2 linked regions of the Lonchura striata genome follow. The protein of the gene in region 2 interacts with the protein of the main gene of each other region in a pairwise test. Links are inferred from orthologs where the notes say so. Each region holds a gene or a part of one and is shown on either strand. Other genes may lie near its edges.

Region 1 (3,744 bases), on a different chromosome or scaffold from region 2:
CTCCTATGTTCTGGGAATAGAATTTTCAGTGAGATTTATTTTGGACTGTGGTTTATGGGGTCATTAGAGAGTGGGCTTCAGTATGCATTATTAGCCCTTTATAATTGAGAACTCAAAGGGTCTCACTTTGGATTGCTGTCTAGAAGGTTGCAAGAAAGTGGGCTTTAGTCATAGTAGTTTTCCATCTTGGCCACAATTTAATTTGGTTGAAGGTTCAACAACAAAAATACTGTTCCACATTGGTTGTTACTCAGGCAAGAAAAATAAGTTTCCAAGTCTGTTCATTAAAAACCAGATGCTCGATAAACATCTGTTACTTCCTTGGAACAGATTATATCCAATAAGCTCAAGAGGGGCTTAGTCTGGGTGCTCTTTGTGAAGGCCAAAGCCTAACAAGCATTTCTCAGGTCTTGGTGGGGCCTGAGCAGTGGTGGGGACATTCGCCACCACAATCCAGTTCGTGACTGAACCTCTGTGGGCCTCTACAGGGTGAAATAGGGCTGTGGCCACGGGGACAAGCACAGGACCCCCCAAGTGAGACGAGGCCCCGGTAGCAGGTCAGGACAGGTTTGGGGGCTGATGAGGACCCCTGCCTAGCTGGCACTGCAGGGCAGAGTGGGGTGTCTGTGTGTGACACACCGCCAGAGTCCCCCCACGTGTCCCCTGACACACTGTGGCCTTCCAGTACTCCGTGTGGCCCCGCACAACCCCCTCTACGTGTCACACAACCTCCCCTCATGTGTCCTCACCTCTCACTGCGGGCTTCAGACCCACATCCCCCACACCCCCGTGGTCCCACCTGTCTTACTGTTACCTTCACGAGTGTCCCCAAGCAGCCCTGTAACCCACTCCCGACACCAGGGCTTCCGTCGCTTGGACTGTTGCATGTTGCATGTGTCCCCCAAGTAGCCCGCGAGGGTCCCGGTGGCCGGCAGAGCGCTGTCCCCCGCAGCCCAGCGCGAGTGCGGGACCCCGCGGTCCGCCCGCCGTGTGCCGCCCCCCGCCCGCCGGTGCCCAATGGGCAGCAGCGGGGGCGGGCGCTGCCGTTCGAATAAGAGCGGCCGCGGCACGGGCCCCGGCAGCTTCCAGAGCACCGCCAATATTGCTGGAGCCCCCAGGGCATCGTCAGTACTGCTGGAGCCCCCAGGGCATCGTCAGTACTGCTGGAGCCTCCAGGGCATCGTCAGTACTGCTGGAGCCTCCAGAGCATCGTCCGTACTGCTGGAGCCCCGGCGACGCCGGAGACGGACCAAATTCGCAGCCACGGTCACGGTACGGGGAAAGCTGAGGTCAATCGCCGGGCGGGCCCCGGTGGTTGCTCGGCGGGGGTGAATTCAGGGCCGCAGAGCGAGGCTGTGCCAGAGGCGGGCAAAGCGCGGAACCCTCGGGCGAGCGGGGCACGTCTGTGGCACAGCCTCCGTCTCGGGCCAAGCTCGGCGGCGTCCCCGTCCCTAAAGGCATTCGGCGACCGCGTTCCTCGCAAGTTCCTCTGCTGCCCCCAGCGCCGGTTCCAAAGAGCCTTCTCCTTGTGCCCTTCCTGGGCCGTGCTCGGGGCAGCCCCATCCCGCGGCCCTGAGCCTCCGCAGGCAGCCCAGGCACTGCGGCGATGACTTCCGAGAGTCTCCGGAACAGCAGCGTCCCTTCCTCGCCCGACTCCTCCCTCGTCTAGCTGGTGGCCCGTGGGGTCCGGTTCCCGTCGAATCCGCGCCCGCGGGGGTGTGTGCGTGTCGGGGGGAGTTTTCCAGGGGTCAGCTGGGATGTGAGTCCGGCCAGGTTAGAGGGAGACGCAGCATCGGGGGCTATTCTCTTTCCCGAGCCGCGCTGGGGCCGGGAGCGGGTCAGAGCCGGCCGCAGCGGCACAGCTCTCCGCCGCTGGCCGGGGCAGGGTGGCGGCAGCGAGCGCGGCCGGGGTCGGGCGCTCCCCCTCCGCACGGCGCGGCGCCGGAGGTTTCGGTGCCGTGCGCCTTTAACGAGCGCGGCCCGGCGCGGTGACGTGGGGTGGCGCAGGGCCAGGAAGGGGAACCGCCGCCTGCCAGCCCCGCCGAGAGAAGCTCAACAACTTTTCTTTTGTGCGTGGCCGCTGGCTCCCCGGCCCTTCCTGGCCTGCCAGCGCTCATGGCGGATTAACCCCAGCGCGCCGACGACGGCCGCGCGGCCCCGGTAAGGCCCCAACAAAGACTTTCTGCCTCTTCCTCGTTTTGTTTTCCACGGGGCTGGGGGGGAGCGGGGCGGGGGCGGCGAAGCTCAGCTCGCCCAGCTCCGCCGCCTCGCCGCAGCGTGCGGCTCCCGGCCCGGCGCCTCGGAGCCCCGAGGTGCGGGTCCGGGGCCGGGTCGGGCTCGCCAACATCCGGGCGCTCGGGTCGGCGGCTGCTCTGCCCCGCCGCCCCGCGCCGGCTGCGGGCCCGTCCGTGCCGGGGGCTGCCGTGGGTCGCTCACTCTGCCCGGGTGCTCCCCGCAGCCGGACCCCCGGCCTGGGACGGCCCTCGGGCGCGTCCCCCGGCGCGCTGGCACGTCGGGAGCTCCGGAGCGCGGGCTTGCGTAACGCCGTGTTGTGACCGGAGCGGCGCGGGGGAAGGGGGGAAGGACAATGCCGCCGCCGCCGCCGCCGCCTCCGGGGCTCGTTCCCCGGTCCCCGCCGCCCCCCTGCAGCTGCTCTCCTCGGGGATGCGGCTGGGAGGCGCTCACGGCCGCTGGCGGGCTCCCCGACCGCTTCCCGCCTGCCATCGCCAATGGCGCGTCCTCACCGAGGGTCATGGCGTTGTCTCAGATGCTCAGGGTGGCCAGTGTCACCAGGGACAAGCCAGGCTGTGACCGCGGCAGGAGCGGGTAGCCCTGCCCGCTGTGCAGATCTCACACCAGGAACCAGTGTGTTTGCAGGCTGGTTCTGGTAAAACCCAGCTCGACGCTGGTGGGACACAGTTTTTTCCGAGGGTCTGCATCCAGTGCTGCTCGAGTGCTGTGCCCTGTGCCTTTGGGTAGATTTTTAGGGAGAAGTTTTGTCTGTGCCACCGAGGGGAGGGACAGTAGTTGTTGAGTGACCCAGCCATGACACAGGGAGCTGGATTTTAGCCAGATTGGAGGGAGGACCTGTCCTGCTGAGGATCCCATGCTTCCCAGCTGGACCGACAGCAGTGGGAGCTCTGTACTCCCTAAAGCCACCGTGGCTGGTTGGCTGTGCTGTGCTGAGCAGCTGCAGATCCCGAGCAGTGTTCAGGTGCAATACCGGGTGAGGAGCTCCCTCCTCATCTAGGCGACTTTTTGGCTCCCAGCAGTTCCCTCCCCTGGAAGACTACCAGGGTGGCACTGGGGGCAGCCAGCGTGGAGGCAAAGGTCGCTGTGAAGGGGACCTGGCAGTGATCCCAGATCCTGTCAGGGCAGCTCATCCCTGCTCCCACCCAATGCAGTGATGCCCAGAGAGCTCCCTGTACCTCAGCAGGTGGTTTTTTCCAGTAGTAGCTGTGGGAAGGGGAGCTGGCAGCGCTTCAATGGCTCAGCCACTGCCTTGCTGGGCAAGAAATGTTAGTGACACTTGGAGGTGAGAGGGAGGGAAGAAGGCACAGCAGGAGAATGAGGAGCCCGAGCAGCAGTTTTCCACTGACCCCATGTCAGGATCCTAATCTGTGGGAGTAGACCTGGCTGCTGCTCAGCATTGCTTCCCACTCTGTGCCTGTGGGGAAGCAGGAGGATGCTGGCTGCTCCTGCACAGCTGGGATGTCCCAGATGCAGGGACACATCCTCCCTTGG
Region 2 (3,744 bases):
AATTAGCACAAAACTCACACAAATCCTCCATCTGCACAAAGGGCTTGGGGAAATCTCTCAGGCAGAATTCACAGCTGGGGGAAACCTCCCCCTGAACCCCAAAATAAATCATGTGCAGCTGGGAGAAGAGAATGTCCAAGTGAAAGGACAGGAACCTGAGGGGGAATTTAAAGTCCAGTCAAGGGGCTGAAGAGCAAACTGTTATCTGGGTACCAATTCACCCCCAGGCTCTCAGATTGGGGGGGTTCTGTTCTTTCCACACTGGTAGTGGCTGTGAGACCATCCAGCTCCTCAGAAAAGCAGGAAAAGCCTTTCTTAAAACAAAGGGAGCTCCCCTGGCTGTGTGTTTTCTGTTCAGCACAGCACAAGACTCTGAACAAGCTGATAGATAGCAGAGAACTCTGGAAGTGGACTGATTTTTAATAAATATCCTGCCAAAAGAACAGGACAGCCAGAACAGGGCATCCACTGCTTCCAGGTGTGGGACTATCTCAGCAGTCCCAGGAACACTCTGGGAAGGAGGACAGGGCTGTTTCTCCATGGGTGAGTGCAAGCCTGGCTCAGGGCTGCCCAGTGAAGCCACCCAAGCCTCCAGATCAGTGACTTGGTGTGACATTCCTGCAGCCAAGCAATGCTGGAAGCACCTTACCTGGGAGCTGAACTTGATGAGCACCATGTACTGGTTTGGGGTGGAGTCTCTGATGATCTTCATGTGCTCAATCACTTCGTAGAAGGAGGCCACAAACTTCATGAGGTCGTGGCTGGTCATGGTGGCGGGGACAGTGAGGATGCAGAGCATGGCACTGCGTCGCACGTCCTCCTTCAGGGACGTCATCTTGCTGGGGACACAGCAGGGACACAGCTGTGCCTCACCTCCTGGGGCAGGGCACAGCTGGACACACAGCTGGATGCACAGCTGGGCACACAGTCACAGCAACTCTGCTGTCAAACTTCAACCCTCTTTTGTCATCGGTGAGGAGGAAGAAGGGGATGTAGTGAGTGACCACAAACAGACATCCTTTAGCCAAGGATGAGCCTGGGCAGCTCCAAGAACAGTGGGATTTGCCAGGAATAGTTTGACACCTGTTTTTTACAAAAACAGCTGAAGTTGGCAAGCCCCAGATGCTCAGCACTATTCCTAGAACAACTGAGCAATGTTTGTTACTATTGCCAATGTCCATTTGGTGGCTTCTGGTCTCCTTTCTTTCAGGAAGACCTGAAATGGGAGATCTCACACAATTATAGGGGAGTGGTGTGGAATTGGAATCCCTGGAATACAGCATGAGACCTCCTGCCTCACACAGCTCCCAGACTAAGGCCCCAGAGATCACTATGTAGCTGTGGGATCCCTTGGAAAGCTGCTTTCAAATGTCTTTTTTTTTTTTTTTTTTTATCTGTGTTTGTCTTACACTCTCACCTTCAACACCCCCAGTGTCACCCACAGCTGTCACGGGTGTCACCCACAGCCCCAAGCCCCACCATTAACACCAGCCACTCTCTGCATTCCCAGGAAGGAGTCACCCTTCCTGTTTGTCCAAACTCAGGAGCCACAGCCCCAGGGTGGCCAACTCACCCTCCCATTCCCACCTGAGCTGGCATGAATCAGGAATTCTTACTTTGTTTTGTACAGGTGCATAATTCCATGAACGATTTCGACCGAGGGGTTCCCGCTGAAGAAGGAAATCTGGTCTGGGAGCTGCTTGGAAGGCGAGTCTGGAGCAGCCTCACACTCCTTGCTTTGATCCTCCTGTTTAGTTTTGTCCTCAGCTGATGCAGCCTCCGAGGATTTTCTTCCCTCCATGGCAGCTTGTGCTTCATCTTCCACAAGGGCAAAATTTCCCCTTTAGTGAGGGGAAGGGAGCACCGGGATCACCCAGTGCAGCCCCTGGCCCTGCACAGACACCCCAACAATCCCAGCCTGGAGCTTTGGCCGAACTCTCCCAGAGCTCTGGCAGCCTCAGGGCCGTGCCCAATTCCCTGGGCAGTGCCCAAAACCTTTCCCTGATCTCCAACCTCAATCCCCTGACACAGCCCCAGCCGTTCCCTGGGTCCTGTCCCAGAGCTCGGGGCTGCCCCTCGGGAGGAGCTGCGGATCGGGATGAGCTCAGCGGGCAGTGCCCACGGGAGTGCCCGGGCAGTGCCCACGGGAATGCCCGGGCTGTGCCCACGGGAATGCCCGGGCTGTGCCCACGGGAGTGCCCGGGCTGTGCCCACGGGAGTGCCCGGGCTGTGCCCACGGGAGTGCCCGGGCTGTGCCCCCCGCACATCCCTGAACTTCCCAGCTTGTTTCCCAAACTGCGGGGCCCGCTCCGGCCCCGCAAACCCCACATCACCCGCGCTCCCCGCCCTGCCTGCCCGGTGACAGCACCGGGACACTCTCCTCCACCACGGGGCCGCCACCGGCGAGCCCGAACCGCGCCCGGTGCCCGCGGCCGGTACCTGCCCGCGGCTGGATGGTCTCGATGATCACGTCGGTCATCTCCCTGCGGCCCAGGTGCTGGTGCAGGATGGCCGCCCGCTCCCCGGGGCCCTTCCCCTGCAGGCAGGCGGGCACGGCGGCGGGGGCCGCGCCGCTGCTCTCCGCTGCCATGTCCGGAGCTGCGGGGACAAAGCAGGCGTTGGGACGGGGCGCGGAGCCGCGGCCCCGCCGGCAGCTGCGCGGTGCGGGGCGGGCCCGGCCGCGCTGCCCCGCGCCCCGCCCGTGGCCCCGGCGGGGGGAACCCACCGGCCGCGCTGTAGGCGAAGCCCGCGGGCAGCGGGGAGGTCCCGGCCAGCTCCAGCCGGATCACGACCAGGGACACGCTCATGGGCTCCGCGGGGCCACCGGGACGGGACCGGGACCGGGAGCGGCGCCGCTTCCGCCTCCCGCACCTTTCCCCTCTGACCCCGTGACGTCACCGCTCCGTGACGTGACAGGCGACGGCCGCGGCGGCAGCGCGCGGGGGGCTGCGAGGGGCGGCCGCTGCTTCTCGCGAGAGTTCGAGGTACGTTCTCGCGAGAGCGGGAGCCTGAGGGGGCAGACCCCGGGATCGTCGGTCCTGAGGGGAGAAACCCCGGGGATCATCGGTCCTGACGGGGGAGAAACCCCGGGGATCGTCGGTCCTGAGGGAAGGGACCCCCGGGATCGTCGGTCCTGAGGGGAGAGACCCCGGGATCATCGTCCTGAGGGGAGAGACCCCGGGATCGTCGGTCCTGAGGGGAGAAACCCCCCCTGGATCATCGGTCCTGAGGGAAGGGACCCCCGGGATCGTCGGTCCTGAGGGGAGAGACCCCGGGGATCATCGTCCTGAGGGGAGAGACCCCCCTGGATCCCTGAGGGGAGAAACCCCCGGGATCATCGGTCCTGAGGGAAGGGACCCCCGGATGATGGAGTCCAGCCCCTGACCCGTCCCCACCTTGTCACCAACACAGAGCACCCGGTGCCATGCCCAGGCCTTCCTTGGACACCTCCAGGGATGGGGATGCCAAACCTCCCTGGGCAGTTCCAATCCCTGACCACCCTTTCCAGGAAGGAATTCCTCCTGATGTCCAACCTGAACCTCCCCTGGCACGCCTCAAGGCCCTGTCACCTGGTTGTGTCCCTTGTTCCCTGGGAGCAGAGCTGCCACCACTGATTATGATCAGTAATTAGTGTGTGTTAGTGATGAGCAATCCCACTATCCCAGCACTTGAAGGGGTGCAGGTATAGAACCCCATCTGGAACACTGGAGTGGCTGCCCAGGGTGGAGCCACCACCCCTGGAAG

The links. The genes of interacting proteins can lie anywhere in the genome.
Region 1: the proteins of BRAP (region 2) and NUMA1 interact in a two-hybrid assay, tested with the Homo sapiens proteins (2 studies listed by BioGRID and IntAct). The link is inferred for Lonchura striata from reciprocal best matches to the Homo sapiens genes BRAP and NUMA1.

The regions. Positions count from the first base shown.
Region 1 is NC_134604.1:4,289,095-4,292,838, reverse strand, and holds the start of NUMA1 (nuclear mitotic apparatus protein 1), read left to right. Parts: upstream 1-1,079; 5' UTR 1,080-1,272; intron 1,273-1,988; exon of another isoform or gene 1,989-2,160; intron 2,161-3,744. UniProt on the Homo sapiens protein: Microtubule (MT)-binding protein that plays a role in the formation and maintenance of the spindle poles and the alignement and the segregation of chromosomes during mitotic cell division.
Region 2 is NC_134620.1:11,775,988-11,779,731, reverse strand, and holds the start of BRAP (BRCA1-associated protein), read right to left. Parts: upstream 2,873-3,744; 5' UTR 2,808-2,872; coding exon 2,726-2,807; intron 2,599-2,725; coding exon 2,440-2,598; intron 1,819-2,439; coding exon 1,617-1,818; intron 840-1,616; coding exon 650-839; intron 1-649. UniProt on the Homo sapiens protein: Negatively regulates MAP kinase activation by limiting the formation of Raf/MEK complexes probably by inactivation of the KSR1 scaffold protein.